Tamandua tetradactyla: one gene and its partner. The protein of the gene in region 1 interacts with the protein of each later gene in a biochemical or structural test. Links are inferred from orthologs where the notes say so. Each region holds a gene or a part of one and is shown on either strand. Other genes may lie near its edges. The genes, in order: ITPR1 and CABP1.

Region 1 (16,151 bases):
GATTACAAAGCAGCTGGTTATCATTTGCTATCACCGATGCACCGCATTCGGAATTCCTCTGGAAGGAAGATAGTGATTAAGAAAAGCAGACATTCAAAGCACTTTGCACTCTACTCAGTGTTTTCCAATGCCCTGGGTGCCCAGCACTGTACCTGCTAGGGTCAGTTTCCATTAACTATCAGTTTAAAAATGACAATTAATGAAAGAATTTAAGCAACTAACAAAATGTTCTTGTGTAGTTGCCTCTACTCTATCTCCCACCACTTCAAATCCACTTCCCTAGGCTGACCTTACCTAACTGACCTGTTTCAGGATGGATTGAACTCAGACTCTCCTCTGCTGAACACTTGATACAGACTAGTGTAAGTGCTAAAACTCCAATTCAAGGGAAACACTCTTTAAAATCTGGAAACAAAATTAAGTGACAAAAAGAAGCAGTTCATTTGCCTGAGGCTGGATACACCGAAACCGCATGGGAAGTGAAAAGGCTACAAATTCTACTTAGTTGGTACCTGAATTAAGTAGAATTCGGTGCCCAGTTTAGTGCCTAGGCATATTTATCATTAAATAACTTTCTCAAAAGAAGGGAAAGATGACGCTTGCAAAAATTCTCAAGTTTTCCATTTCTTTTTTCTCATTCATAATTCTCTTTGCTTTTCTGGTTGACTTGAAAGAAACCTACAAAGGACTTTTTTTAAAAAAATTATTTATTAATTTAAAAAATTAAGAAACAAAATAAAACAACATACATAATCAGTAATTCACAATATCATCACTTAGTTGCATACTCATCATTTCTTAGAACATTTGCATTAATTCAGAAAAATAAATAAAACGAACACAGGAAAGAAAAAAAAAAGATTATACCTACCATACCCCTTACCCCTCGCTTTCATTGATCACTAGCATTTCAAACTAAATTTATTTTAGCCTTTGTTCCCCCTATTATTTATTTTTATCCCATATGTTCTACTCTTTTGTTGACAAGGTAGATAAAAGGAGCATCAGACACAAGGTTTTCACAATCACACAGTCACATTGTGACAGCTATATCATTATTCAATCATCCTCAAGAAACATAGCTACTGGAACACAGCTCTACATTTTCAGGCAGTTCCCTCCAGCCTCTCCATCACATCTTGAATAACAAGAGGATATCTACTTGATGCATAAGAGTAACCTCCAGGATAACCTCTCGACTCTGTTTGGAATCTCTCAGCTATTGACACTTTGTCTTATTTCCCTCTTCCCCCTTTTGGTCGAGAAGGTTTTCTCAATCCCTTGATGCTGAGTCTCCATTCATTCCAAGATCTCTGTCCCACGTTGCCAGGAAGGTCCACACCCCTGGGAGTCATGTCCCACGTGGAGAGAGAGGTAGGGTGGTGAGACTGCTCATTGTGTTGGCTGGAGAGACGGGCCACATCTGAGCAACAAAAGAGGCTCTCTTGGAGGTGACTCTTAGGCCTAAATTTGAAGTAGACTTGACCTATCCTTTGCGGGGTTAAGTTTCATATGAACAAACCCCAAGACTGGGGGCTCTGCCTATAGCTTTGGCTGTCCATACTGCTTGTGAGAATATCAAGAATTCAACTTGGGGAAGCTGAATTTCTCCCCGTTCCCACCACTCCCCGAAGGGGGTACAAAGGACATTTTGAAACAAACAGCATAACTTATAACTTGGAGCTGTTGGAAAACAAAATTGTGCAGTTGAGATAATATTTTGCATTTTACCCAAGAAGTCAACTGTAGATTTCCAATAATTTATTGTACTTTTTAATCACTTTTAAAGAATATAGAGCAATGGCATTAGATATAAAATGACTACTCTTCCCGCAAAACTGTACAACTCATAAAGATGGGCAAGATTTTAGATAATTTTTTGAATAAGAGAAATAAGTATAAATACATGCATTATGGTTGTGACTGCAGCTAATGTCAACATTACCCAGACTCTTAAAGTAATTGATAATATCCAGCCACACAACACAAGTATGAAGGGTATAATGTAGTGGATAAGAGCATGGCTATCTGATCAGGGTTCAAATCTTGGCTCCATCAGATACTAGTTCTTTGACAATGCTAGCAAATTATTTAACCTCAGTTTCCTCATCCATAAAATGGGGTCATAACCATATCTCACTTATAGGGTTGTAGTAGAATTAAATGAGATATTGTACATAAAAGGTTTAGCTTAATGTCTAGAATTTGGAAGGAACTCAATTAACTGTAGCTGATATTATATTTACAATTATGAACTCCAAACTGTGAAAAAAACCTTAGCCACGTAAATACCAACAGCGTGGAAGGAATTGTAGTCACCTGAGTTCTGAAAATCGCCAGGTGTTATATAACCTTTTGAGGGATAAAGTACAAACAGTAGGTTTGATATTTGTTTATAGGATAGGGAGAAGGCCCTTGTACTCAATGTTCTCTTGCTGTCAATATTTTTCTCTAAAGTTTTTATTTTGAAAAGTTTCAAAATCAAAAATATGGAATAATGAACAATACATATCCTTCATCTAAATCTACTAATTATTACATATTGCCACATTTGCTTTCTCTCTGTCTCTTTCTCTCGTTTGTCATCTATTGATAATCTTTGTCTAACTCAGTTATTGCACTAGAAGTTGCAAAGTAGTGATTTCCTAGTTTTATTATTACTTTTACGTGTATTAGCTGGATTTTTCTGCAAAAAAGAGCTTTCCATTTTTCTTTTGACAAACATTTCATCTCAGTCCAAACATTAGGGTAAAACAATGAGGCTTTTCCCTAGATTTTTTCAAGACCTCAGATCCAGTTTGACTATCAGAGCAGAAGGGAGGGAGGAGATGGTGAGAAGTGTCTGAGCCGATAATAAACCACTGGTTTTGCATGTTTCCTGGGAAAATAATGTATAAAGAAATAACAGTCTTCAGCCAAAGTTCCTAATTTGCTTACCTGGTTCTAGGCAACATTGGTACCAATCACCAGTGATAATATAGCTGCCACTTCCATATGTATAAAGTGTAGCAACTTCTTATTTTTGCATTCTTTTGTGACTTTTATGCTGCTTCCTGGATCTTAAAGTTAATACTGGCAATTTGCCTATGTTCCTTCCATGTTCAAGGTGATTGACTAGCAATATCTTCTTCACTTCACATCTAGGACGGCAAATATAGGGTCTCTTCCTGTTTGTGTCTTTCCTCAGCCTTACAGGATGTCCAGAGCCTGAATTCAGGAAAAATACCTTGCTTTTCCTAGCTGCACACCAAACTGATTGCTCTCATTCAAAACAACACCAATTATGCTTTTGCTATGTCAGTTAGGGCTGCTCCATGGTTCCTCGTCATTTCTTCTGGCCGGCCTGTGGTTCCAATAGTCAATTAGCAAGTAACTCTGCGTCCAGAGCTGAGTGGGATGCTACAAAGAATACAGAAATATAGGACCTGGTGCCTATTTTCAGGAATTTATCACAGAAAGATGGAGTTAAAAGATTATCTAATCTTGTGGGAGTGTGTGTCTATGAATGAGGTTTGGGGGTTAGTATAAGAAGCTCCATGAACTGGTGCTAATCTTTTGAGTATCTAAGTTATGCTGTGTTCTAGTTTGCTAGCTGCCGGAATGCAACACACCAGAGATGGATTGGCTTTTAATAAAAGGGGATTTATTTTGTTGGTTCTTCAGAGGAAAGGCAGCTAACTTTCCACTGAGGTTCTTTCTTACGTGGAAGGCACAGGATGGTCTCTGCTGATCTTCTCTCCAGGCCCCTGGGTTCCAACAACTTTCCCCGGGGTCATTTCTTTCTCCATCTCCAAGGGCCTGGGCTGAGCTGCAAGTGCTGAGATGAGGAATGCTGAGATGAGGAATGCCAAGCTGCTAGCAGTGCTACATTGCAATCTCCCATTTAAGTACCAGCCAATTAAGTCAGACGTCACTCATTGCAGCAGACACGCCTCCTAGCTGACTGCAGCTGTAATTGGCAACAGATGAGGTTCACGCACCATTGGCTTATGTCCTCAGCAACAAGACTAGGTATGCTCACCTGGCCAAGTTGACAACTGAATCTAACTAACACATGCTGGGACACGTATTCATAGCTTTTATAGTTTTTCAAAGAGGGTTGTGATTCTGTCCACTTACTATACAAAAAAAGTCAACAGTGACCAAGAATGACCAGTTGGAAGACTGCACAGTAGCTATTTCTGTGTATTGATATTTTTTTATGTTCAGAGGCAGTCTAACACATTAGGTAATGAATTAGCATCAAAAAAATGAATTCTGTGACTTCATTGTCAGGCATTTGGTCTTGCCACATTTAAGAATGACTTGGAGAAGATTTTAATCAAGGCTTCTTGTGATATCCATAGGCAATTGAAATCTTGTGCCTGGGAGAAAAATGGGGATTGTGTGGCCCAGTAATTTGAAGTTTGCAGCTGAGTACTATAACAGGGCACGGTGATATTGTCCCCATCCTTGTCGATAGCATTCTCTTGCATTGGTGTTACTAGGGTAAGCTAGCAAAGCCCTCTCATGTCCAATGATGCATTTGATCCAGTTAAATTATTAGCTTCAATCTATCAATGAGAAGACAGATTGAGAATCTATCAATCTATCACAGACCTGGGCCTCTGCAAGGTTAGGTGACTGGCCACAGTTACAGGGATATCAAGGGTGCAGTTGGTTGTCCAACCTATTTTTTCTGACCCAGCTCTTTCCAGCATATTTTGTTCTCTTAGGACAGTAATTAAGGATGGGCTTCTAGGTAAATGCCTCCAGTTGCAGTTTTCAGCTGTGTACTGCTGCAAAAACCTGTTTCTATTTGTAGGGGTAGGCTGGCATGCTTCTATTGGGTCTTCTTCAAACTTCTGCTCAGTCTATGATATTTTACTGACTCTGCAAAGCCCTCCCGTTTCACTGTGTGGGCATTTCAAGGGCAAAGTAATCAACGGCTATTTTCAGGACTGGTCACCATCTTGATTATGAACTTGGAAATCAGATTCATAGTTGTCTAGACGAGCATGGTCCAATAGAATGTAATAGAAACCACATAGGTAACTTTATTTTAAAAAGTAACAAGAAGCAGGATTTATTAAATTTAATAATTTGTTTTAACCCAGTATATCCCAATATTATCATTTCAACATGTAATCCATATAAAATATAAATAGATATAAATTATGAAGATATTGTGCTCATTTTTTTGTATTAAGTATCTGAAATTCAATGTGTATTTTATACTCACAGCACATCGCAGTTAGGACTAGACACATCTCAAATGCCTAAATGGCTTGTGATTACCATATTGGACAATACAGGTCTAGACAATTCTTTCAGGAAAAAAACAACAGTGAAGAAAAAGAAACTCTCCTTCCTCTACTGATAATGGAGAACAAATTTGGTGGTGGAGTTTTTATTCTGACATGACATACATCTTCATCAGTCATCAACCATGCCTTATCATAGACAACCTCTTAGGAAAACGGCAAAATTAGTAAAATTACTTTCTAGTGACCTAGTTGCTTCCAGAACCTGCTGTCAGTTGTAAAATGTTGACTAGGACCATCTGCACACACCAGCAGAGAAAACAGGCCATGATATGAGTGGGCTGCAAAGCTTGTGTGCTCAAAAAATATGTTTATCTAGCCTGTCACATGCCTGACACAGTTTCCATTAAAGCCATTAAAACATTTTTTTTATAAACACTTCCCCCCCACACGTCTACTAAAATGTGCAGAAGACTAATCCTTGCAGAATCAAGGGAGGTAGGGAATACAGGCATGAATGAGACACTGTCCCTGCTTCAAAGAAATTTGTGGTCTAGGAGAGAATGCAGACTTAAAGAAGTTGGAAAAGCAGGTAGGGGCCAAGTGTTGACTGTACAGCAAAGATGAAACGCCACTTCTCAAGCATGACCAAATTGTCTTCTGAAAACCCATGTGAAAATCCCATTGTGTTTCTGAGTTAGAAGCACATGAAAGAATTACCTTTCACTATTTACCAATTATATTAGCATAGGCTGGTTTGTGGAATTTTCTTGAAAAGCAGAGTCAAAGACCCTCTGGAAAATGGAGTTTCTTGATGATGAGATGGCATGACATAACTAATAATCACTGACATTGATTGAATACATGCCATGTGTCAGGCATAGATCTAAGGTCTTACTGTATTTTGTCTCATCAAACCCTATTGATGAACCATTTTACCAATGAGAAAACTGAGTCATAGAAAGATCAAGTAACACTGCCAAATGCTAGTTGGCAGCAGGGTCTAGCGCTCAGGGAATGGTGCTGAAAGAGAGGAGGGGGCAAGAGTGAGTAAAAGAACACAAACTTTGTCTGCTTCTGGAGCTTTACCTAGTCTTGGTCTGGTATTAAATTCATATAGATGTGAGATAAATAAAATACATATGTTTTTGTATTTAGCAGACAGTGGAGTTTAGAAGTTAAGGTCAAGGACTCTGGAGTCAGACAGCCCAGACACCTGTATGACTTTGGCAATGTTTTTTGACCTCTCTATAACTCAGCTTTCTCATTGGTGAAATGGTTCATAAGTAGGATTTGATGAAATAAAATACAGTAAGGTTTTAGAACAATGCCCGATGTGGCATGCATCCAATTAATGCCAGTGATTATTAGTTATGTCATTGTTATTTCTGTAATTATTTTTAGCTGCAGTGAAATTGGTGCTAATTTGCTCCTAAAGTTTTGCAAGACTGTTGACTCTATATAGAGTCAGCAATCCTGGGAGAAAGTAGGCTAAATCTAATGATTATCTTCCTCTAAGATGCAAAACAGGGGCAAAGAGATAAAAATGACTTGCCCATCCGCGCAGAGGCAGCTCCAAAAATGGGTGAAGGAGGGCTGTGCAAGTCTTTCGCACTGGATTTCCTCAAAGACAAGGGCTTCATACACTCAAAGGAGTTGGAACCGAAGTTGGCTCCACCACTTACAGGTCATTTTGGGAAATTACCTGATTTCTCTGAATCCTTAGTTTCCCCACCTGTCAAAGAGGGATAACAGATATGCCTAAGGTTGTTGAATTTTAAAATTCATAGCATGATGCAGGAAAAGCGTTAAAATAAATTCAGCCTCCACGACTTTATTATGATTACTGTTGTAAGCCCTATGTCTCTCTGGGGTGCTGCCCTATATTTTGGCTTTCCATCATGCCCCAGCGTCTGGAGCTCAGGAGGCACTCCTGAAACGTCTGCGGAATGAACACGCGTGTTTGAGACAGGGAAACCAGTCGGCGGATTTTGCTTCGAGGTTAGCGCTTCCTCTCCTTCCAAAAGCCGAGCCTGGAGCGGCTTGGGTTTCAGGAGCCCGGGGGCTGCCTGGCAGTAGGCTGCACCCACCTCGCCCCGGACGCCGGTGTACGGCTGCGGGAAGTCGACCCGCGCGGACGCGCATCTCTGGGGCAGCGACTCCCTCCAAAGCCCTTATTTTCTTATTTTTCTGGTTTGCGGCTTATTTACTTAGGCAAGTTAGAGCTCCCAGGGGTAGAGGAGCCGCCCGAAGCAGGGTCAGAACTGAGGTCGCGGTTTCTATTTGTTTTCTGCCTCCAGTCTTAGCGCTGCAAGTCACAATACGGCCTTTGAGCACCAAGAGACTCACGTTTCCTCACTCCTCCGTGGGGCTGAGAAGGACGAGCAATTCGGGTTCAGGAAAGTGCTCAGAAGCGACCTGCTTGCGTGGACCGTCGTCTGCTCACTTAGTTTTCTGTGCAAACCCGAGTGGGGAGGATCAGATTAAATAAAGAAAACCTCGAGCCTTTAATCCCTGACCGCAAACATTGGGGTTTTTGTGCCCGGGATTTCTGAAATTCTTGGCTCAGAGATTCAGAGTAGGGGGGAGAGTGGGTAACAGCTTGTAAAAACTTCCCAAAGCAGAAATGCGAGTTTGCACACTCCACCTCCCCTCCAGCCCCGTCCTCCGGTCCCCATGCTACCTGGATGCAAGGGAAGGGGGGGCAGCCGGAGGAGGAGAGCCTCCAGGGGTTGGGGCTCCCTCCAGGGGGCGCGGACTGACAGCCGCACCACCCCTGGGCGAGAAACCCGGTTAAAAGCCCCTCCCCCGGCTCCGCGCGCGCCTATTTAGGACCCAGCCTGGGAGCCCAGGGGATTCTGGGGCTTGTAGTCGATCCTTCCAGCCCCAGGCGCCGCTGCGACCCCGGACTCGGACTACATTGCCCAGGGAGCTCCCTGGCCTATATAAGCGGCGAGGAGCTACTTCTAAGTGCAGTAACCATGTGGGTGTGCTGCTGAAGCGTTTCCTCAAGCTCGCCGGGGTGGGCGGAGAGGAGGAGAAGGAGGTGGAGGAGGAGGAGGCAGGGGGTGGAGAAAGAGAGAGAGCGCACGCCGGGAGGAGGTGTGGATGTTCCGCTTCCATCCTAACGGAACGGCTCCCTCTTCGCGGACATGGGATTACCCAGCGGCTGCTAACCCCCTCCTCGCCCTGCTCTCCCAAACCGGCCTGGCTCCCCCGGCATCAAGGTAGCGGCTGGGGCCGGGCAGAGGGCGCGGGGAGTTGGTGCTGTCCCTTCGGGCGCAGAAGTTTTTGCCCCGCTCTCTGGGAGTTCTTGATGGATATGCCTGCACTTGGCGTGCATTTGGGCGTTCTTTTACGCGGGGTATTTTTTTGAGAAGGGGCGGGGGGCTATTTGAAGTCTAACAACAATGAAAAAAATCCTCAACTGCTGAACCGGCTTTGAGGTCACCCATTCTGGACTGGAATGGCATTCCCCCAAGTTGAAAACTGTTGCAGCAGCTGCAGGAAATTGTTTGTTTGGGTTTTTTTTTTTTTCTTTCCGGGAGGGGGAGGGCGGGGAGAGTGTCATATGTGAATTTGCTCAGGGAAACAATTTTTCTAAAAATGTAGCCCTCCCTCGTGCTACAAGGTTGATAGAATAATACATGCGTGAGGACTCCGGGAGGAGGGCTTTACGAGACGGAAGAAAACCGGAGGGGAGCGGTAAGGGATGAAGTGTGGACGAAGCTCATGCCCAATGAGGATGCGGGCTTCTGATTCTTGGCCTCTGCTCTAAGAAACAAGTGCTTTGGAATCTGCCAAGCACTTCCCTTAGTTCCACACTACCCCCTCTTCCCCGCAGTAAATTCAAAGTTTGTGCGTGCCCAGCGCACATTTGTCAGTTGCATGCTGGAAATAAGTAAGTGGAGTGACCTGAGATCTTTGCCCGTGCAGTCACACCCACCTGCCTGCCGAATTTGGGTGGCCTGCCCGGGAGACGCTAAGGAAGGTGGAAACCTGGGGTTTGGAGCATTTCTTTAGGGAGCCTCGTTCCGTGGCCTTTACACTGAATTGTCTTTCTTCCTGAATACTTAGGAGCTGACCACAGAGGAGCAAAGCTGGGCGTGTTTTGGCAACGGAGTGCCTGACCCGGGTCAGGTGAGTGGACGCTTGAGTGCTGTGGTCAAAAATGAGTTTTTGTCCTAAGTGTATTTAAAATACACGCTAAAGAGCTATGGAGATGGGGCTTAGGAATGAAAAGTAAACTCTGTAACATTTGTCAGTGCCGTTGATGAGGGCTTTAGGGAGGATGAAATCCAGGGGGCAGTCCTGCCTAGCACTTTTGGCCAAGGCTCAGAATGGAAGTAGCCTGAAGGTTTATGAGAGAGTGGGAAAAAGACTTTAAATGGAGTAATCAAAGGGAGGCTCATTGGTGGCCTGAAAATCGAACTTGCCAAGGAACGTGCTGATGATTTCAGTTCTGAAGGATGCAGTGCATTTCATCTGCCAAGATATGTAAGCAAAAATGAACTGCCTCTCTCTCTTTCAAAAATAGTTGCCTCTTTTTTTCTTACTGTGAATGTGTGCTTAATTAGAATAGGTTGAATTGCAAGAAATGAAAGTGGTTGCTGACGAGTTGAAAGAATTAGAGCTTTAAAATGGGAAGTTAGTTCTTGAAGTATAAGTTAGTAGCACCCAGCCATTACTAAGCCACCTGAACTTCGGAATTCTAATGGGTCCTTGTGGTTTCAGTGCCTGTCGTGAATATGAGCTGAAGGTAGGATTTATCTGTAAACACAAGCAGCTCCTCCCCCTGCTCAACCCCCTCCCTTGACAATGGTCAGACTGCACTTTAAGAGAGGGAGGTTTTAACGGGTACACAAACATCCACATTACTGTAGATTTGGCCATCACAAGTTTTTTTTTTTTCTTTTAAAATGGTCAATAACATGGTAAACAAGTGGTAATGGGGATGGCTGAGTCTTAGTAACTCCTTTAACCTTCTAAATATTTAGCTGTTCCCTGGGCTACAATCTTTGGGCTTTTCTAATTAGAAAATAGAAGTCAGGCACTTCATTATGGTAGTTCAGTGCTTTTGTTTCCTGTTGATAAGATCCTAAGGAGTGTTGGTGGAGTGGGAAGCATTTGGATGTGTGAAGCCTAGTTCCTTCTTGGAGCCCTTGGATTTTATTGACTTGCCTGGCTATTTGGGCACTCCTAAGGCCGAGGATTGAGTAAAGCGCCCCTCTTCAAAGTAAGCTGCAAACAAGGAGAAACTGGCTCACAGACTCTTCTTTGACGGGAAGTACTTTCTGTATGCCAGGTCCAGAGGCATATAGCATGGAAACACTGTTAGGTAGGTACAGGTGAAAAAAATGAGATGCAGAGAGTTAAATTGCCTGGTGGCTAGTATGTTAAATTTCCTGGTGGCTAGAATGCAGTGGAAGTAAGATAACCCCAGGCAGCGGAAGTCACAGTGCATCTTAGAAATGCACCTAGTTTACAGGGGTGGAGGCCAGTGAGGGGGATGTTCGGAAAATTGGTAAACTTATTGCTGTTGATGAAATAACTATTGATTGTCACACCAGTGATGGATTCACAGCACTACCTTGCTGTGAGAAGGAATCGATGTAATCATAAATATAGGGATAAAAGAGCGTAGATGTTTGAGGAGGTGTTAGATGTGGTACATGGTTCTCTTTGGAAAGCTATGTGTTGAAAACCTGAATGCGGAAAGTAAAAGAAACATAAACAAAACAAAACTATGGGGAACATTGATTTCAGCATGGGGTTCATCTCATATCTGAGAAATATTTTGATCATCAACATCAAACAGGTTGAAAGAGTCTGTTGTTTCTCCATCTGAATAATTTGAGAGTTTAAATTGCTGTGCACTGTGAAATGTTGATATATTTTCACAAATGTCAACTTGCTCTGTGGCCATTTGAGCATAATATACTTTTTATTTTATTTTCTTTCTCTGTACGTGTGTGTGTGTGTGTTTGTGTGCGCACATATGTGTGTTGAAAGTGCAAACTGCTTTGACTAATGCAAATCAGAGCAGAAAATCCTATCAAGATTTTCTTCTTATCAAGCAGGGAAAGTTCTTCATGTTCTAAATTAATTATTCCTGGCCTAGCTCTGAGACCCACGAAAGTCATTTGGGATTGACAATGGCATCCGTTTAACCAACTGGTTGCCTTTTGCAGGGAATTGCTGTTCTCTTTTTGAGAATGAGAGCAGTAATACTTGCTTAGAAGTGAAGAAATAGATAAACTCCACAAGACAGATTTGTTGCTTTACCTTTAATATATTTTCAGCTCAGGAAGACGAGTTGTTTCATATAAAAACAAAATAAGTAAACAAAAAGAAAGGAATAGAGAAAAAGAAACGTAAGCCAGTTTGTCTTCTAGAGAAAGAAAATCACATGGCATTTTAGTTCATTTAAAATGGTCTCATGGAAACTTTGATCTCTTTACAAGCAGCTCTTAAAAATGAAACAACAAATACCAAATATGAACAACAACAACAACAAAACAAAATAAAAGTAGGCCTGGAGTTAGGTTTCTAGGTCAAATTGTCCTTGAATACATCTGATTAAGGAGTCTAGACAAGCCAATGTCCCACCTTGTTTGCTGTTGGTTTGGGCTTTTAAAATACAACACATTGAATTTGCATGTTCTCCATTAACTGGCAATGAATGTAGATTTTTAGTTCAGTTTTGCTGTTTAAGATTTTTGCACAGTTCTTTGGATGAATGCAATTAAGGCTTGACGCCATTGACATGTATGTCATACCTCTGTAATTCTTACCAATTGAGTGTCTGTGGTTCTGAAACAATAACTGATGAGGATGAGCTGATTAAACCACTGAAACCCGAACCTATTGAGCTTTGAGATTCCCTAAACTGGGCATAATTTAAGGCACTTGGTGTGGTTAAAAAAAAAGGTGGACCATGTTGGAGAAATGTCAGGGAGGCCAGGGTGGGTTGGAGCTGTGGGGAACTGACCCTGGGGCAGGTGCTAGGAAATCAGTGAGAGAGGAGTAAGGGTCAGACCATATAGGGACCAGGTTTTTACAGGTGTACAGTGGTTGAGCTGGGGATGTCGGAACTCTTATACAGTGCCCAGTTGATTCTCAACATCACTGAAGTATGTCATTATTTCTGAGGAGAGCCCAGTAAATCTGACAAAGCCACATAACCAGAGGGGAGCTTAATCTACAGGGTAAAACCCAGGTTTCTATACTGGCTGGTTAATCCCATGATTTACCCAGATTGTAATTCAGTTCAGTTCAGCAGAGAATCCTCATTGATAAATAGGTGAGCCTACAGCTAGTTTGGATAGCATGTTCTAAGAACCTAGCGATATGTCTGCAGTTTATCTTCAGCACAGACCTTCTGTGTCCCACTGCACCCTGCAGTTGGCCCAGTCTCACGTTAAGGGAATTACACAATGAGAAGTAATCCTCTGCTTCTGTAACATCTCTGGGGAATGAAAAGTTCCCCAGAGAAGTGAAGTGGACCCCTTCATATGTGCAAACTTAAAACAAACCTCAATTTTTGTTATTTATTATGTGAAGATACGCGTTTTTCGTTGTAGTGAAACAGAAAATAAAGGCAAGCAAAAAAACCACCAAAACCAGCTACCCCTAACTCCACCGTCCAAAGATTCGGGTTCTAAACTTTCCCTTTCTCTCTGTCTGGATATATATGTATAAAAATCATGGGTATATGTCAAGTTCATAAAAAGGGACTCATAGAATGCTTCCTTCTTGGTAACTTTCCTTTTGCAATCAATCTATCTTGAGCATCTTTCCTTGTTTATAAGTAGCCATCTGCGTCTCCATTTTCCCGAAGGTGGCTATGCCTTTGATGGGATGTCATTTGAGTGATGACATGCATGGAATCATTAGGTTAAAAGTGTATCATTTAGGTTTCATCATTATCATACAGTCCAGTTTTTCTCATTCAGTTTATACTGTATTTTTAAGAAAACTAAAAGTAAAAATAAAGTACTATGCATGTTCGCTATCTTATTACAGGAGTAAAGTATAGTAATAATCTCATTTGAATATAAAATTTCCCATTTGTTCTTCAGAGTAACCTAATGCTGTGAGATAGGTAGATAGGTATTTATTTATTTATTTGCTTGTACTTAAAAAGAAAGCTTTACTATAGAAAATTTCAAATACATGCTGTATTAGATATTTTAGTATAATAAACCCTTCTTTAATACTCTTAACAGTTCTTTCCCTACTCTCAACAGTTATCTCACAGCCAATCTTGTTTTATCTATATCTTCATCCACTCTCATCTTGGATTATTTGCAGCAAATCCCAGACATACTAGTGCATCTGTATTTCATTATGCATATCTAGAGTTGGGATTCTTTCTTAAAACACACACAAAAAACATAATCACAATACTATTATTATCACATCTCAAAACAAAATGAAAGACTTTTTTTACCAAGTCTATATTCGTAATTCTTTGATTAATGTGTATGTAAGTTAAAACAAATGTATTTAATAGTTTGTTTAAATCAAGATCTCAGTGAAGTCCATATATTATAAATGGTTTATTTATTAATCTACATATTTCCCCTACAGTGCTTTTATTTCCATACAGTTTTTTGTTTTATTAAAGAAACTGGGTCATATATTTTCCCATGGTTTGGATTTTACTGAGTGCATCAATGTGGTGAGCTTCACATGTTCTTTTATTCCCTACCTTTACCATAATTTGGTAGTTAAATATAGAGTCATCACGAGATTCAGGTTCTTTTCCTTTTCTTTTCTCTCTCTCTCTTTTTCCTTTGATCAAGTCTACCTTGTGAGCTTCACTTGGGGGAGGTATGAAAAACTGGGTGTTTCTTTTTGTGTGATTATATTCAGAATTCTTTTTAAATTTTTGCATTTTGGGGATGCTTTCAATAAAACTGTTGAGGTATTAAGTTTTCCTCATTTAAATTTCTATTTCCTCGCTTATAAGATGAAATTGACAAGAATACCTACCTGATGACAAGTAAACCACTGATGCTCATTTCCTTGGTCCATTAGTTCATTTGGAGTTGTAAAACCCCTAATTCTATTTTCCTTTCTTTATTTATTAGCTGGGATACTTTTGTGAAAAGAAATTGCCTCCACTTAAGTATTTGGTTACCTTGAGGTACAGTTCATGTAGGAAAGGCAAAGTAGGTGTTTTGAGTCTATTTATTTTACCAGTTTTCAAAATAATGAGTTAGTTCCCTGATGTCCTCCAAGGCAGTGGTCATAACCCAGGACACTTTTACCCCCCTATGGGACATTCAACCATATCTAGAGATATTTGGTGGCCACAACTGGGGGTGGGGTGGGGAGTGGTATGCTGCTGGCACTAAGTGGGTTTAAGGCCAGCTATGCTGCTAAACATCCTACAGTGTGCAGGCCAGCCTCTCATCCCCCAAAATTATCCAGTCCAAAATGCAAAATATAAGTCTTGCCACCATTGAGAAACCTTGCGTAGTTATCCTTATTGATGCTCAAATTATCTATCTTTAATCAGTGAGAGGCTATTCAGGTGGTCTCCGGTATCTTTTTTGATACAACCTTAGAGATCTTTGAATGCTTTCTTGTTTTCTATCTGACAAGATGTTCCAGGAACATCTCTGTATTTCTTGCTCTTGACGTGGAATTGGCCATTTCTCCAAGGAGCCCTCGTTCTTTTGAGTGGGAAATGGTATTTAGAAACCTCTGCTTAGTATCAGGTAGGTATTCTTGTCAATTTCATCTTATAAGCGAGGAAATAGAAATTTAAATGAGGAAAACTTAATACCTCAACAGTTTTATTGAAAGCATCCCCAAAATGCAAAAATTTAAAAAGAATTCTGAATATAACCTAATTTTTTCTTTAAATTGGTCTAATTTCAAGCCTTCATGTATTGGGAGCTAAGACAAAGTGGTATTGCTGAATTAAGCAGAAACATTCCACATTCGTGGTTTTAAAACTGTGTAGTGACTCATTCAAAGGTCGTGAAATCAATTTAGTGAGTGGCTATCAACTTTTTTTTTTTTTTAACGCAGTAGACTAAAATAGAAAATATCAGTGTGTATTGCATGGATTCTAAATAAAATTGTGTACATTGCAACAAACTCACACACACACAGTGAACTTTGGGTGGTGAAGTTCACTATTTGTTGCTGAAAGTTGCAGTCAAAATCTGAGAAACGTTTTTCCACATCCTTGATACTCCATGTGTGAACTGCATTGGACTCAACTGGGAACCGGCTAGAAATGCAGACTCCCAGGCCCCACCGTAGACCCACTGAATCAGAACTTGAATTTATCAAGATCCCTAGGTGTTTTACTCACATATGAAAGTTTGAGAAGCTCTGTGCTGGACGATTCTTGGCCCCTCTGCTTTTTAAATACTTGCCTGATTTTTATGATTCCTTTGTCTTTTCATGGTTGATGCTCACCTCTGTCTTCTGTGCTTCCTTCCAGTAGCCTTCTGATTTTCAGTTAAGTGGAAAGAGGCTAAAACACCACCCTAAAGTGAGAGCAAATAAATTGGCTAGGTTCTTTCATGGATACATGGGAAACTTCCATACCTAAACATAGGGGACATTTTAATTGGCTATTCACATAGAGTCAGGAAGAGACCAGAAACTGCAGTGGAACCTACTTAGAATTGTTAAATTACAGATAAAGCTGCAGTTTAAGCTGTTGTTGTTGGGCACTTTGAGGAATTTATATTTCATAATTTTTTATGATCCATCCCTTCAGCAGAACGTCAGGACTGCTCAGAATAATCTTGCTCGTTGGGGAAAAAGAAGAACCCAATAAATGTACTACTGGCTTCCAAGTTCTCAGTGCTCTTTGCATGTCAGGAGGAGCTTTAGCTGGGAAGAGACTTTTTTTTTTTCCAAAACCATTGTAAAAGCATC
Region 2 (16,265 bases), on another chromosome or scaffold:
GAGCATTACATAATCTAATCTTCATGCCTCGCTGGTTTGTTCTGTCCTCTTGAGGAATTGGCAGATGGTGCCAATGCGGAGACCCGCGTACACGCCTCGCAAGCCTCATGGTAGCAGGAGAGCTGCTCAGAGTGTCTGTTTCTGTGCCGTGGGGTCCCTCTCTGGCATTTGTTTGCCTGGATCAATTTGCTCTTTAGTATTCGGCAGACACCCCTGGCTTCTTGCCTTCGGCTCTCATTCCAAGATTAATTGGAAATGCTGAAAGCAGATAAAAAGAGAACAGAAAGTGTAGTTGAAACGGCAGAGAATTTGCCAGATCTTTTCTAAGAGCCCTCTTCCATTAAAGGCTGAGCATCTTTGGGGCTCTGACTTCCCTCACCCCGTGTAGTCCTTGTCTGCATCCTTGTTGCTGGGTCTCACACAGCAAAGGGGCAGGACTGGCTCTGCCAGAGCTGGAAGAGGAGATATTAGCTGGTTAAAGTCTGCATTTCTCTCTGTAACAGTGGGTCACATACCTGCAGAAATGACTGTTCCCCAGATAGGGCAGTTGACTGGAAACCATCTTTGAGTCAGTGATGTCATCCTTGCTAAAGGAAAACGACTTCAGAACTCTGTAAGGCAAGGAGCCTCCCTTGTCCTTTCTCAGAAGGAACCACGATGTATTGATGTCCTTTTTAAGACGCCTAAAAACCTGGGAATGGCAGCTTTCAAGGAAGCAGAGGTTTCTCAGACAACCTGTGGTAGAAATACTTAGGAAATAGAAATCAGTTGACATACTCTAGTATTGCCTTTCAATTGTTAAAATATGGAAACATTCCCATCCTGGGTGGTGAATAGTTATTTATCTCTCAGCTTCCAAGTGCCTCCCATCCCTCTGCTAACATTTCCCTTGCCGAACCCCCTTTGTTTCCAACCGTGCGGTACCAAGACGTCTGCTTGGTGTAGGGTCAAAATACAACTCCAGGTGCCACAGATGTGATCGCCCTGCCCACAGATTGCACATAGGCTGACTCTGATTTTGAATGGAACCTTCTAATTAAAACACAGAACTCTCCTGCCTATGGCAAAAACATACCTGGACCTGAAAGGGCTTTACACTTGGTCACTCGGGACCCAGGTTGTATATTCATACAACAGAAATGATCTGTCTGAAGGAGAAAAACAAAACAAGCCACAGAGTCTTGTAAATTCCATTTTCCCCTGTTCAGTCTAAACAAAGGGGATTCATTTCTGTATAAACACTAACTTTTTGCTCTTTAAAATGTGTTTTCACTGGGTTTCAATTGTACACTTACTGTGAGTGCACTATTATGTGTTTAGCCAGTGTGCTAAGTGCTGGATATCCAGTAGTAAATAAAACAGCCCCTGTCTCTGCTTTCATGGAATGTACAGTCTAGTGGAGTCTCGCGGGGTAGACTGATAATAAAGGAGGGCACCGTGGCTGGAGATTCGTGACGTCATCTGAATATGGGTTGCATTTTGGCTAGTGGAAACTGCATAGCTGCAGTGACTAACTTCCGGTGTGTTGTACACTTATCATATGTATCTACACTATTAGAGTACCCAAATGTGTGCCATCAATATTAAAGGAGTCAGGCATAGGAGATGATCACTGTCCGGATTTCAGAGAGACTGAAAACTGCTCTGGATTAGGGAAAGAAAGGAAGGAATTTTCTGAATGACATTGATGGTGGGGCAAATATATCTTAATATTTGGAGAACAGATGTGCCATTCTTAAAGAAGTTGAGAACTTCTGACTGATCAGTCATCTGGAGGGGACAGAAGCTGCCTTGTTTATGCCTTTTCTCTCCTTTGCCCTTGTGACTTGGAAACAAATAAAGAACTCACTAGCTAGGATTAGGGATATTGGCTGCACACACAAAATCATGGAAAGCTAATGGTCTCCAGAGTACCCAGCTTGTAACAACCTCTGACTCGCTGTCGGAGCTTCTTCTCAACCGAGTTCGGTTGCCACTATTTTCAAAATCTTAATTCATGTCCCTGAGAACATCTCCTGCTTGTTTGATTTTTCTTTTATTGAGTTGTAATTTACGCACAGTGAAATGACAAGCCTTGAGTGGACAGTTCAGTTTTGACAAATGCATATACCCTTGGTGCCCACACCCCCTTTCATTTTATTTAAAAAATATTAAAATCCTCTTAAGTGATGAACATTCAGCTCCAAACGGCAGGCAGACTTTTGGAAAAGAATCCCCTATTCAGGCCACCAACTCCCCCTCCGCCTCAATTCTCATCCACTCCCTTCCCGAGTTCCCCAATCGCCGCAGAGGATTTAAGCCATAAGAACATTCTGTAATCCCAGCTTTCTGAAACCTAACAGAGATTTTGTCATCTGAAAACAAAGGGGAGATTAAGTGCAGAATTTGACTCTGACAGCAGCGGAAAGAAATGAGCTAGACCAGACACGTCACAGAGAATTAATTGCACTACTGTACAAATGCTCTGCAACCTTTCTCAAGACTCTAAACAAGCCACGGTCTTGGCCAGAATAAAAGAACAGTTTTTAAGGGGTTTGCCACAGAGACATGACATTATCAAACTGAGATAGATATGTTAAATGAGAGATCTGTGAGCATTTTGAGAATTTTTTTTTTTAAACAAGAATTTTATTTAAACAACAAAGACACTTGAAGGGAAAACTATCTAGGATTCATTTCTTTTAGAGTAATTTATCCCTACTTAAAGACAGATTGCCCTACATGTAACAGCTACATACAAAAAAGTTATAAAATTGTCCTTGGTTTTACAATGATAAATGAAAAACATTAAAATTCTCCAATCGAACAAGATATGCAAGGATTTTTTTTTATGTTGTTGGTTTTTGTTAAACAGTGAGAGCAAAATAACTTACTGGAATATAAAGATAAGAGTTGAATGAGCATGCCACTAATGGAGAAAGGGGGTATTTTCACAGAACCAGTATTTTTCCCCATCCCATCTCCATTTGATGTCGATTAAAACATACCATTGGCCATTTAGTTAAAAAAAAAAAAAAGCAATATGCTTGTGCACATACACCAGTTACTTTATGTACAATAAAGGAACAGGGAAGGGTAAAATGAAAGAATAGAGAAAACTATACTGTAGTAGTCAGGATGTGGTGGAACCAAATTGCGGTTTTTCTAATTGAGAATGTCTTCTTGGTCTGCAGGAACAGAGTTCTGGAGTAAAGTAGCAGGCTCCCTTTTTGATAGACACCTCCTGTCTGCTGCTGGGACACATCAATTGTATCTTCAGCCTCCATTTCCAACTGTGCAGGTGTGTCTGTTTCATTGATTGGCTGCCCATCAAATCGGAATCTGATCTGCCTCATTGACAAACCCTGTCGTTCACAATAGGCTTTCATTAGTTTACTAAGTGGTGTCTGCCTCTTAATCTTAAACTGCACCACAGAACCATCCTGCCCCGCCACCTTCAAATTAATATGATCGTTGTTCTCAGTCTTGACTCCTTCCTTGGGCTTTTCGTCCGCCATAGCGAAAGCCGGAGTCTCCTCAGCTACCGCTTCACAAAAGAGGTACCAGGTCCACACCGAACGAGCACACAAGCAGCACCAGGAGCCCATTTTGAGAATTTTGCCCTTAAGCTTGCCTTACTCGTTATGAATGACTTAGAAATGAGAATAAAGACAGCTAGATATACTGGTTCTTTCTTGATTAACATAATGGTCCCAGACCCATCTTCTCTTTTTTAACAGCCCTTTTGTGCTGGGATGTCTTTCCAGCTCTCCAAAATAACTCTTCTTTTGCATAATTTTCACTAAAAGTTATATAGTCAAATAATGTAACAACATGTAACTTATTTAATAATTACAGTTTGGTTAACACTTAAAAGGCAAATGACAGGGTACGCTATGGTGGCTCAGCAGGCAGAATTCTCACCTGCTATGCCCGAGACCCGGGTTCGATTCCCAATGCCTGCCCATGCCCCCCCTCCAAAAAAAAGACAAATGACAGACTTTATGTGAAAATTCTTGTAAAGCTATAAAGATCTATACAATCCAGAGGGATTATTTAACAATTATTTCTGCATGGCAGGACTCTTTGTAGTCACTTTATTTCCAGCATATCTCACAATCAGAGAGGCAAGCCATTCTCCTTTTCCACATTCATGTCTTAATGATGGTATTTTGGAAATATTTCCTGAGTGGACCCAGACACCTTCTTACCAGATTCAATGCCACGAAGGAAAGCATGCTGCTTGACTTCTTTCCTACTCTTTCCCCAATGCCTAGGACGTGGCGGGCACTCAGCAATTTTAATTGACCTTCTTACCTCCACTCTATTTCTTGTCAGCCCCACAATGCATCAACATTCTCTTTAAAAACACAGTTCTGCTTATGTCCTACACACACTTAAAAAACCTTCAAGGACTCTCCATTGTCTATTTTTTTTGGACAGCCAGGAAGTAGTTTATTGGTGGGCACAGATCAGGTGAGGGCAGTGCCAGCAAAACCTTCATGAGCGCAGGGCCCACCACTTGTCCAAGGGCCCGCAATTGGGGATGTACTTGACCCCACAACCATCTGGGATGAGGTGCTTCTCGGCCACTATGTCTTTGAATTCATCAGCATTGAACTTGGTAAAATCCACATCTTGGAGATGTGGATTTTCTGGCAGCCAGGGAACTTGAACTTGGCCCTGCGCAGCGCCTTTATCACATGCTCCTTGTTTTGAAGCTTGGTGTGGGATGGACATGATGACTTGGCTGATGTGGACTCTGGCCACCATACCCTGGGGCTTTCCAAAGACACCACGCATACCTGTCTGGAGCCTAGGTTGGGGACAGCGCAAGGCCAGACAGGACCATCAACAGGAAAGGGCTGAGTTGTCTCCTTGGTCCCTTAGGGCAACCCATACAAGCAACAGGCTGCATACACTACCAAGGAGGCTGCTGTCCGCATCCACTGCACTCCCGGCCCGCATGGGGAGAGGGGGACGGTCGGCTTAATTGGCTGCGCATCCATTGTCTATTGAATAAAGAATAAATTCCTAAATATCACATACCAGATCCTTCACAGTCTAGTTCCAAACCACCTCTTCAGGCCCATCTCCCCCCACCCTCCCAGTCTCTTTCCTCTCCACCCAAATAACTTTCTCTTCCCAAACACTCCATGCAGGTTCATACTCCAAGCTTTCACTTAAGCTGTTTCCTCTAGAATGCCCTTCCTTTTACCCTCCTTATGCAACTGGTGGCATTTCACTTATTCAAAGCACAGCTCAAAGTTACCCTCTGTGGCACCTCCAACTCCATTGCACAAAGGCCCTTTTTAGGTGCTCCCGTATAACCCAGCTTGTAATTCCTTTATTACATGTTCCTTATTATATTATAGTTGTTTTTCTCCTCAAGGAATTTGAGTTCCTTGAGAACCGGGACTGAATCTTACCATTCTTTACACACCTCCTGAATCTGTCTACTTCTCACCACCTCTGCACTATCACTCTAGCCCAAACCACCATCATCTCCTACCTGGATCATGTAATGGCACCTGGCTCCTCCTACAATGGCTAATGGCTTCCCTTCACACTTAGGAAAAAACCCAAGCCCTTGGCAATCTGGCTTTTGCATTCCTCTCCAACCTCAGCTCTACTGGTCTCTCCTTTGTTCACTCCAGCCCCACTTGTTTGCTTGCTTCTCCTTGAACACTCCAAGTTGCTCCCTCCTCAGGTCTTTTGAACTGTTCCCCTTCTGCCAGGAGATCTCTGCCCCAGATAAAGATGTGGTTTCCTCCCTTACTTCATTTAGCTCTCTGCTCAAATATCTCCTCAGAGAGGCTTCCCTAACCACTCTCTAAAACAGTCCCCTCCATTAAACCCTATTCTCTTACCCACTTTAGTTCTCATGGCACAAAACATCACCACTTTGTCACCTGCCGTTACTTTTCCATGGATTTATATGTTTGTTGCTGAGGATAGATTTTGTTTTACTCACTGCCATTCCTTGGTACCTAGAACAGTGCCTGGCAAATAACTGGCACTCAATATTTGTTGAATGCATGGGTGAGTCTGTGTATCCCAGGTGCCAATGCAGTGCCTGGCTCTATAAATGCTTTTTAAAAAATAAGTGACCAAATTAATGAATGTTACAAATGAAATGGAGTTCTGGGGTGCATCCAGAATAGACTGTTTCATCCATTTGCTTCAGGAACAAAATGGAACTTTGAATTCTTTTATTCACTCTAATAATCACATGCTTTGTAACCAGGTACTTCCGTGTTTTCAGAAAGTAGTTGCTGACAGAGGTCTTGCCCCAGGGCATTTCGGGAGTTTGAGAAAGGCAACCAAGAGTGGCGCAGCAGAGATTTGGAATGCCCATCAGCCCACTGCATCCCATCAGCTCCCGAGGGACTGGATAACGTACTTTATCTCCTGCGATTTATATTGAATATACATCTGTAGTTAATCCCGACAAACACTGATTATTCTGAGGGCTAGAGCAGGTAAGACATTGATTGACTCCAAGCCCAGAGAGGGTGAACTCTTTACACTTTGCTTTGCGAGTGGACATTGCAGCAGCCCGGCCTGCCTTGGTGCTGTGCTTTAAGGAGCCTGGGCGACTTCAGTAGGGCAGTTCAGCCCCTTGCAATAGGTGAAAGCTGGGGTACAATTTGTCACAGTTCCCTTGTTCACTTTGGCTTCTGGGCAGTTGCTTTACCTGCCCATCCTGTTTCTCTTAGTTTCTTCCATATGGGTATGTGAAAGAAAGAAGCAGACTGCAGAGAAGGGTGAAGCCTTGGCAGGAGTTGCAGTGCAGCATATTGGCAATCTGTGTATCTGTCCTAAGATGAAGCTGTAACCAGACTGTACCCTATTCACGCATGGATGGTACTAGGGCCAGAGGCCAGAACAGGGAGAGCCTGGGAGGTCCACCCCTGTTCGGATCTCAGACATCCGGGATGTTACTAGATAAGCATGGTAGATGGGGGCCTCCTGACATGCAAAGGGAGGGGACCTCGCTTGGCTGTGTGTGCTCTGTGCCAAGCACTAGGCTGGGCCTTTTATGTGCATGATGTCATCTGTTGTTACCATGAAGTTATTTATGATTGTTGCCTGCGTTTTACAGAAGAGGAAAACAAGGTTCAGAGAGGTGATGACTCTTGCCCAGCCTCTGTGACTCCCTCCCAAGAGGAGGAATTTCTCCAGCATCTACAAAGGCATGAAGGTGAGAAAGGGGACAAGATGAAAGAGGGGCAAATAGGTTCTACCTGAGACTTGCTCATCACCAGGCCCTACCCCGTTCCAGCAGTTCAGAGGCCACCTGGCTTCTCTTCTGTTCTGAGAAGTGAGCATATTGCGCCCCATTTACCCGGGTCATCCCAGCCTCACTCCACGGGACTGGGAGGTGAGTGACGCACCCTATAGAGTGGAGCTTTTCCTTCCAGCAGTGTCTTTCCACACCATTCTGGCTCCTGTGTTTGTGCACGGTCCTTGGGCCCTCCTTAGGTCGCTAGTTCCTGCACCTCTCTCCTCCTAATTTCCGAAGTTGCGGGGGTGCACTCTGCCTGCGGCTCAGGAGGTTCCGGGGCCCTGTGGGCACCTCCAAGCCTGATAAAGGGCGCTGCCGGTGCCACCAGGGTCTCGACCTTACTGGGACCCTTAACCAAGCCACCTCCCTTGCGCTCCCGGCTCCGCGCGAAGCACCCCGTCCGCCGCCAGGGGCCGCCCGGAAGCGGGGTTCCCCGAACGCTGGGCGGGGCAAGAGGCGGAGCGCGGCGGTACCTGGGCCGCTGGAGAGCCGGGGGTGGGCTTTCGGGGGACAGCCAGCGGCCCCCCCAGATCCGCACCGCCAGCCGCCCGGGAGCTCCAGGGTCCGGGCGCAGACGCTGCGCTGTCACATGGGCGGCGGCAACGGGGCCGCATTTAAGCGGCCGGGGGACGGCGCCCGCCTCCAGCGAGCCCTCGGGCTGGGCTCCCACCGGGCGCCCGGCTCCCTGCCCGCCGGGGGCCCCGCGCCGCGCCGCCCCGCGCCGCCCCCGCCGGGCCATGCAAGCGCCGGCCCGGCCGCGATGAGCTCGCAGATCGCCAAAAGCGAGTCCAAGACGTCGCTGCTGAAGGCGGCGGCGGCGAGCGGGGGCAGCCGGGCTCCCCGCCACGGGCCTGTCCGGGAGCCGGGGCTGTCCGGCCGCCGGCTACCCGGCGCCTGCCCCGCCACCCCGCCGCCCGGGGACCCCAGTTCGCGGAGACCCTTGTGCCGGCCCGCGCCGCGAGAGGAGGGCGCGCGGGGGCACCGGCGCGGGCTCCCCCAGGCGCACGGCAGGCCCCGGGAGGCGCTGCCGGCCGTGGCGCCCAGACCTTCGCCGCCGTCGCCGCTGCCGCCGGCCCGCGGGCGGGATGGGGAGGAACGGGGACTGGCCCCGGCGCTCGGCCTCCGGGGCTCCCTGCGAGCCCCGGCCGGCGGGGACTCCGCTCCCGCCGCGGCGTCCGAGGCGGACCCGTTCCTCCACCGGCTGCGCCCCATGCTCAGCTCCGCCTTCGGCCAGGTAAGGGCCGCGCCTCCCGCCCGCGCTCCCGGGAGAGGCGCTCGGGACCCTGCCGCAGCCGCGCGCCCGTAGCCCTCCCCCCACAGCCGGCGGCCCCCAGGGTCACGCCGCGGCTCCCCCAGCCCTCCCCCGGCCCGGCGCCCTTGCCGCGTGCCTCCTCCTCGGTGCCTGATTCAGCACCCTGTGCGCTGTCCGCGCTCCCGGCCTCTTTTGGGCGAGGCCCCAACCTCACACCTGCCGGGGTCCGCCAGCCTTGGAAGGGAACAACCTCTACTATCCGCCTGGAGATTTGCAGGGGTCGAGGAGGGGCGCTCGGAGCTGGCGGGAAGCGACCCAAGAGTGCAAGGAGTCTGGACTCCAGAGTACAGAGAGGGGGCACAGGCACATAGAATTGCTGGGGGCCATTGTGTCTACGATGGTCCCAGACGTTTGAGAAAAGACAGACGCAATGAATGAAAAAGTTAGGAGAGCTAGAGGGAGTCTCAAAAATGTGAGAAAGAGGAGAGGTGTCTGCTAGAGGGGCCGTACAGAGCTATGGTTCAGACTGCAACTTTGGGGTGTTATAAGGAGGTGCTATTAATAAGGATGCCGTTTGAATGGCAGCTGGGCAGTTGTCAAGATGAAGGTCATGGGACAACACCCATAGGCCCCTAGCCTGAGTAGGGGTGCCTTTTCCAGTCAGAAACGTCACTGAGTGGTCACCAGTGACTCCTTCTGTTACCCGCAGGCCTTTCCCTCAGGGGTCCCAGGCAGCTGGGCACCTGCCCTTTAAAAAGCCAATCTGTCATCCTCATCCAGCTCTGCAGTTTGGGAGTGCGCTGCTGGGGAGAGGGGCTCAGCGGAAAGGAACCTGTGAACTCCTGAGCAAAGCCAGGATTTTCTCCAGTGCCGAGTCTGTGCTCAAGTCCAAATCCTTGGCGCAGCATCGAGACAGTTCTGCAGCAGCCAAGGCAGGGAGTAGCGCAGAGGTCTGATCAGAGCATCTGCACCGTGTGTGTGTATTTGTGTGCGCGTGGTGGGGGTAGGAGAGAGGGGGCCCCAGAGTTTCTGTGCTAGGATCTAGAGTAAAAAAGCCGTTTCAAACTCCTGACTTCACCGGACTGGGTCACAATTCCAAGGAAGGCCGAGCGTGTGTGTGTGTGTGTGTGTGTGTGTGTGTGTGTGTGTGTGGCTTCAGATCTGCACATTCCTTTTCAAAATACTACACTGCAGTGGCTGATGCCGGGGGAGGTCTGACATGAAGGCAGCTACACATGGATTCGGGTTGAGCGGGCTGCTGGGGTGATGTGATAGGGCAGCAGTGTGCGGCTTTGTTCCCACAGGGAGACCTCATTAGCCGAGTTAGCTGGAAACAGTCCTCTGGAGTCAGGATTTGGAGGCAGAGCTGTGAAAGTTCGTGCGGGAATGTGTGGAGGGAAAAGTCCACTGCTGTGGCTTCTGTGTTAGTAAGGAGCTGAAGGGTGTTTGGGCACACAAGTGGGTTGTGCAGCGGGACTGAGGGGCAACAGGGATGCTGTGTGACACCCACTCATTCATTTATCCAGTATTTCTTGAGCCCCTCCTCTGCATCACATTGACCAGGCAGTAGGGTGACAACAGTGAACAAGACAGCCAGGGCCTTGGCCCATTCTGGAGAGCTTCCAGTCTTGCAGTGTGGAAAGGTATGTCATTGGTCCTGAATCACATCCTTTCTGGTTATTTAGTTTGCTGGCGATCTGAGTTGGTTCTTAGAAAAAGGGCCCTTTCTTTGCAGTCTGGTGGAATTCGCCTGCATGGGCCCTTGCTGAGCTGAGCATTTCAACTACAGGCTCTTCTACTTTCTCAGTCATTAAATGAAGAAGATTCCCAGCCCAGTGTTCTGAAATGTCACCAGAGTCACCTGAGTCAGAAGGAGCTGGAAGGTCCCATCAAATATTTACTACCTCCTGGAAGCTCTGGCCTCTGGGGCTGCAGCACATGCAGTTTGGGATTCCTGCTGATGTCTCTAAGGCATCTGCTTAAATGACAACTGCGACAGCAACAAAACCCAGGCTGGGACTTTTGTATCAGAGCCTCCAGTCTCCTGTGACAAAGAGGAATTAGTCTTTCCTTCCCTCCTCTTTGCATTGAGATTTGTCCCTAAAGACAAGGCCAGGACCTAGAGAGTGGAAACAGTGCACTGAATATAGAAACTTTCCAGCTAGGATTTGCTTAGGTCAGAACAGCCCTGAGGAAGTATATTTTCCACATTTCTCAAGTGCCATACATGTATATATATATATTTTTTTGGCGTGGGCAGGCACGGGAATCGAACCCAGGTCTCTGGCATGGCAGGCGAGAACTCTGCTTGCTGAGCCACTGTGGCCCACCCCATACATGTATTTTTAACCCTAAGTGAATTGCTTTGCCTCATTAAGCTTCTGTTTCTTTTCTGCAAAACAGGGATAACCATAGCATCTTGATGAATTTGGGGGAAATTCAGTGGACTATGGAGATAGAAGTTGGCCCAGGGTGTGGCACACGGTGAAGGTTCTAATAATATTCATTATTATTATCGTGGTTGTTATTGATTAACCACCAAGGGCTGTGTCAGACCTGTTTTCTTTCCCATTTGTAATAGCCTCAGGGAGAACCAGGGTTCAACGTGGCATTGAAGGTACCAAAATAGGTTCCTCCACTAAGGAAGAACAGGGATTTTTTTAGGGTTCTTTCAGTGACCTTGCAAAGCATCCCCACTGCCTGCAGGGAGACAGCATGCTTTTGAGGCTAAGGCATGGAGGGACTCCGGAGCTGGGACTGCAGGGTCCAGTCCCAGCTCTGCCACCTCCTGGTCGTGTGACCTTGGGCCTGTTACTCTCTCTCTCTGGTCTTGGTTTCCTTATCCAGAAATGAGACCAACAAAAACTGTCTTGTGGAGTTATTACGAGGCTTACACAAGATTAAGGATGGCAACTGCCTGGCTCAGAGGTGGTACAGAAGAAAGGGCACCTTTCATTAATGTCATTATTACTATTAACAGAATAATTGCCTGATTGAGAGTCTGTATAAGGCCATTTGAAAGCTGCCTGTGAGCCGAGGGGGGAGAGGTATTAAAGGAAGAAACTGACTGTCAAGGGCCCTTCTCTAGTTCCCTTCCCCCTGGCCAGCTAAGGACATGCCACCCACCTGCCTGGAGAGAAGAAGATGGTGTCAGAAATTAACTCAGAATAGAGATGATCTGGGGGAACTCTTGGCTTTGGGTCTTGGAAAACTATTTTAAGAAAAGGCTTTCTGTTCCTCACCCAAAGCTTGGGAAGAAACACCCCTTGTCGAGGAGGCAAATGATGATAAAAACCCAGAGCTCTGTCTTATCCTTCACTCTTTCTAAGCTATAGGGACATCTCTGGTTTGTGTAGGCGAGCACTGCTCCCAGACTGCTTTGCACATGGCAGTAGTGAATGAATGAATGCATGGATGGATGGATGGATGAATGATTGGTATCTCTAGCCTCTGGACTTCAGCTTTTGATGGAAGAGAAAAACTATGCTGATTTGGCTCCTAATGGGTTAAAGCACATATTCCTAGAGTGACAGCTAGGCCCATAACTCACTCCTGGCCTGGCCAAGTCTCTTTCTACCTCTGGCTGAGACTGGTGGGAGCCCCTCCGGCTTTTCTTCTGGGACCTGGGGAGGGGAAAGGAGAAGGTCAGCTTACGGCCACTATCAATCACAGGTGACAGGAGTGGCTTGCAGTCAGTTTTGGGGAGGCCTCCAGGATGTCTGTATTTTGCTTCTGGCAGTTTTGGGGAAGCAACAAGGGTACTTGAGACCTCAGTCTAGAGCCTCCTAAACAACTGACAAAGTATCTTCTCATTATCTTTTCTTCCTGGTAACCCATGAAGGTTGGCATTATTGTCCCCATTTAGAGGCTCAGAGAGCAAAAGTTCAAGGTCACAGAGTAAATAAATGGCAGGACCACGATGAGAACTACGGGCTGCCTGTCTCCAAACACATCTGTCTGTGCTGCACCATGCTGGTTTGGTGGGAAGTCACTATAAGTATCTCCTATTTGTCAGAAGCATCTCCTTAGCACCTCTCATGCCAGGACCCAGCTTTCCCCGAGTATCTTAGCACTGGGCTGTCATCCAAGTTCAAACACGGCCCAAGCTAGCCTCCCTCCTAATCAGGAATAATCAACAGCGGGCTTATCCTTCTCATCCCTCTGATCCTATTGCTCCATTCCATAACTCTAACAGCGGTTTCCAGAGCCCATGGGGGCTGCTGCCACCGTGGACAGGGACAGGGAGAGGGAGAAGGGCCAGGCGATGCACTTCACTCCTTAGGGGATGCCCCTGTCACCGACTGCACCATCTGTCCCCTGCCAGGATCACTGGTCCCCACCCCTCTCCTTTCACTCAGAACCACCACTGTCCCACCTGTGCACCCTAAATAGCTTAGGTACGCTCTGAAGCACTGGGTCTGAAGGCACCTGGGTCCCTTGCTGTTCTTAAGTCAGACTAGTGTCAGCTCCCCTCCCAAAAAAACAGGATGGGAGTACATCAAAGTGCATGACTTTTCCATAGGGGCCTGGTTTTGCTGTCTCCTGTTTCCAAGGACAGAGGCATATCCCAAGGTTGACAGGCGGGTGTTGTGCTTGGGGCTGGCCTGCAGGGGGCAGGAGTCACCAGGTCTGAGTGAGTAGGTGCCCTGCTGAGTGATGCCACACCCACTCTGACAGCTGTCCCTTTAAGACTCACGCTAGGAGGGGAAGTGGACACTTCTCATGCTCCCAGTACTATGCCAAGCCCTTTGCACGTATTATCTCATTTAATCGCTAGAGCCCTAGGAGGGAGGGTCCTATCAGAAAACACATTTTATAAATGAAGAGCTTAACATGTCCTCGTGTTAGAACACAGTTCCTACATAGTCATAAAATAGCAGGGGTCAGATTTGCCATCAAGTCTGTCTGATTCCATATTCCTGGCTCTTAACCTCTATCTCAATGAATGGTTCTCAACGCAGGCTGAAGGTTAGTTCACCCAGGGAGTGTTAAATAACATCGATGTCTAAGGCCCACCTAGACCTGTTAAATCAGAATCTCTGGGCAAGCTCCCTGGGGATCCTCACCTGCAGCCAGCTCTGAGAGCCTCTGCTTTACGCTGGACTGCCTTTACACTATCAACCCCTTTAGTTAATAGGAATGAATTGGTGCTTAACCGAAGTCCCCTCTAGGGTCTGTAGAAAGTGCTGTCTTTTCAAAAAACTCTGCAGATGGTCAATTTTCTACATTTTGTCTACAAGTCTTCCCTGGTCTCCTTCTTCCCCAGACTAAGTCAGATTCTCCTGTTCCATATTCTCAGAGTTCCTGTGTTTCCCCACTCATAACATGTATCTGAAATAGAATTATGTAATTGTGTGCAGTGCTATTTAATCTCTTGCCTGCTTGCTAGAATGTAAGCTTCCTGAAAGCAGGGCCTGTGTTTATCTTGCTTCCCACAACATTCCCAGAGCCAAACACAGTGCCTGGCATGCAAATATTGGACTTGTGATATTTTTTCCCTTTTGTTTTTTAATGCAATTTTATTGGGATATACTCACACACCATACAGTCCATCCAAAGTAGACAATCAATGGCTCGCGGTATTATCGCATAGTTGTGCGTTTATCATCACAATCAATTTTAGAACATTTCCATTACTCCCCCAAAAGAAATAAAAAGAAAATAGGAAACTAATAATATCCCACACCCCTTATCCCCCCCTATGATTGACCCCTAAGCATTGGTGTGGTACATTTGTTACTGTTGATGAACGAATATTAGATATTACTGTTAACTATAGTCCATCATTTGCAACAGGAGCATTCTTTCCATTATACCCCTCTATTAGTAGCTCCTTGTAATAGTGTCATGAAAGAACTTTTTAATATTTGTACAATTAGTCAGTTGTCGTCCACCACAAGATTCTTTATGTTAGACAGCCCCCTGTTTTAACCTCCAGCTTTCCTGCTGGTTACAGACACGACTCTAAACTACCCTTTTGCATCACTTCACCCACAATCCCTTCCATTTTAATAATTACTTATTATGTGCCACTCACTTTCCCACTTTATAAGCAAGATAGAGGACGCCCCGGTCTCCAGAGGAGGGAACCGAGGCTCAGGAACGTAAGGTGATGACAACAGTCAGAAGCCGGACTCAGCCCGGGGCTTCCAGATTTTTCCCACCCATCTTGGCTCATTGCTCGTGCGCACGGCCCCGATGCCCGGCTCTGGCCCGGCGGAGATGCTGCCCCGGCGCCGTTTCCGAGGAAGGTGCAGGAGACGTCTCTGAAGGGGAATTTTAAGTCGTTGGCTGCTCACCCTTCTGCATCCACCTTCCCTGACGTCTTTCCTGCCCTTCAGACTTCAAGGCCCTCCCCTAGACTCCTCCCTCGGTCGTGGGGGCGGGGTGGCCCCGCCTTCTCCAGATATGCCCCGTCCCCCGTCCCCCCGCCCGCCCCCGGTGTTTGGAGAAGCCGAGGCAGTCGTTCCACTCCCTGCGCCCGCAGCAGCACCACCACTGTCAGAAGCCACGGGGATACCTCCTTCCCCAGCTCCATAGAGGTGAGCCTGTGGCACTCTGGGGACAGCGCCGCCACCTAGTGCGAGTTCTGACCGGCTATCCAAAGCTGGGCCAAAAACTCCTGGGAAAGTAGCCTTTCTGGGCTGGAAACTTTCAGCTAGCAGGTTAGGGGTTGGTCGCAACCCGGGCGAAAAGTTCTGCCTTCTGCCTCGACGTGCATCTCTGGCGCCCCCTGCTGGTGAAATCTGGACTCAGGGAACCTGAGACCCTTCCTCTCTTGGGTTCTCCGGCTGGGGCTGAAGGTCCCAAATGTGACATCTGAGGCTCGAGATGAATTCAAATCAAAGTCGGAACCTGGAGGGACGAGGAAGAGCCAGCCACCTGAAAAGTTTCAGCTGTGGGACCTTGAAGGCTGCTTTAAATTGCGGCCTCTCTGCTCCGGCCCCCAAGGAAGGCAATGAAAGATCCTCGCTCAGGATCAAAGGATCTCCGGAAGGTTCGTTTACCTTGCTCACGCGCTCTGTGCCAGCACTGCCTCTATCAGGTCCTGCGCAGGGCCATCTCTTGGCTTCCCTTGGATGGCGCACAGCGATGGGAGCAGAAGGAGCCGATCTCGGCTGTTGGTTCAGCTGTGCTTCCAGACCCGGCGCTTGGTCCCATTGCAATGACAAGGCAAGTGTGAAAAATGGAGCATGATGTAGACATCATGAGATCTCTCAGGTCCTCAACGGGAGCTGCCTGTTCTCGGTCCAGCTGGAATTGCCAGGAGGCAATTAGGATGCGTGTTTGTCCAGCTCACTGCTCATCGGAGGGGCAGACGTGTCCCTGGGTGTTTGTGCATGCTGTGTGTGTGTGTGTGTGTGTGTGTGTGTGTGTGAATGCACACACGAAGCTGGGAGCTGCGATGCATCCTGGCTCTGGGGGCCCAAACTAGCCAGCTTCCCCTCCTATGTCTGCTGGCCTAATTCCCAGCTGCAGCTGCCATTCCGGGCCCCTTTCCTAGAGGCAGTCTCCCTGCAGATTTGGCAGTGGGGGGAGGAGGGGCCAGGGAGGGAGAGAAAACCAGAGAGGATTCAGCTCTAATCTGATGTGGGTGACCCTCCAGCCTTCTCCAGCTCTGCCACCCTCTGCCATCCGATCTCCAGGCGATTTTCTCTGTGCCTGCACTCTCCCCTCCTGCCTTCATCGCCTTAAGAAAGTGCCCTGGAACTTAAACCCACACACACAAACAACACACACACACAC

Evidence for each region.
Region 2: the proteins of ITPR1 (region 1) and CABP1 form a complex in vitro, tested with the Homo sapiens proteins (2 studies listed by BioGRID). The link is inferred for Tamandua tetradactyla from reciprocal best matches to the Homo sapiens genes ITPR1 and CABP1.

Annotation. Positions count from the first base shown.
Region 1 is NC_135335.1:45,006,736-45,022,886, reverse strand, and holds the start of ITPR1 (inositol 1,4,5-trisphosphate-gated calcium channel ITPR1), read left to right. Parts: upstream 1-9,433; 5' UTR 9,434-9,693; coding exon 9,694-9,740; intron 9,741-9,759; exon of another isoform or gene 9,760-10,581; intron 10,582-16,151. UniProt on the Homo sapiens protein: Inositol 1,4,5-trisphosphate-gated calcium channel that, upon inositol 1,4,5-trisphosphate binding, mediates calcium release from the endoplasmic reticulum (ER).
Region 2 is NC_135331.1:20,850,074-20,866,338, forward strand, and holds the start of CABP1 (calcium-binding protein 1), read left to right. Parts: upstream 1-7,856; coding exon 7,857-8,501; intron 8,502-16,265. UniProt on the Homo sapiens protein: Modulates calcium-dependent activity of inositol 1,4,5-triphosphate receptors (ITPRs). Inhibits agonist-induced intracellular calcium signaling.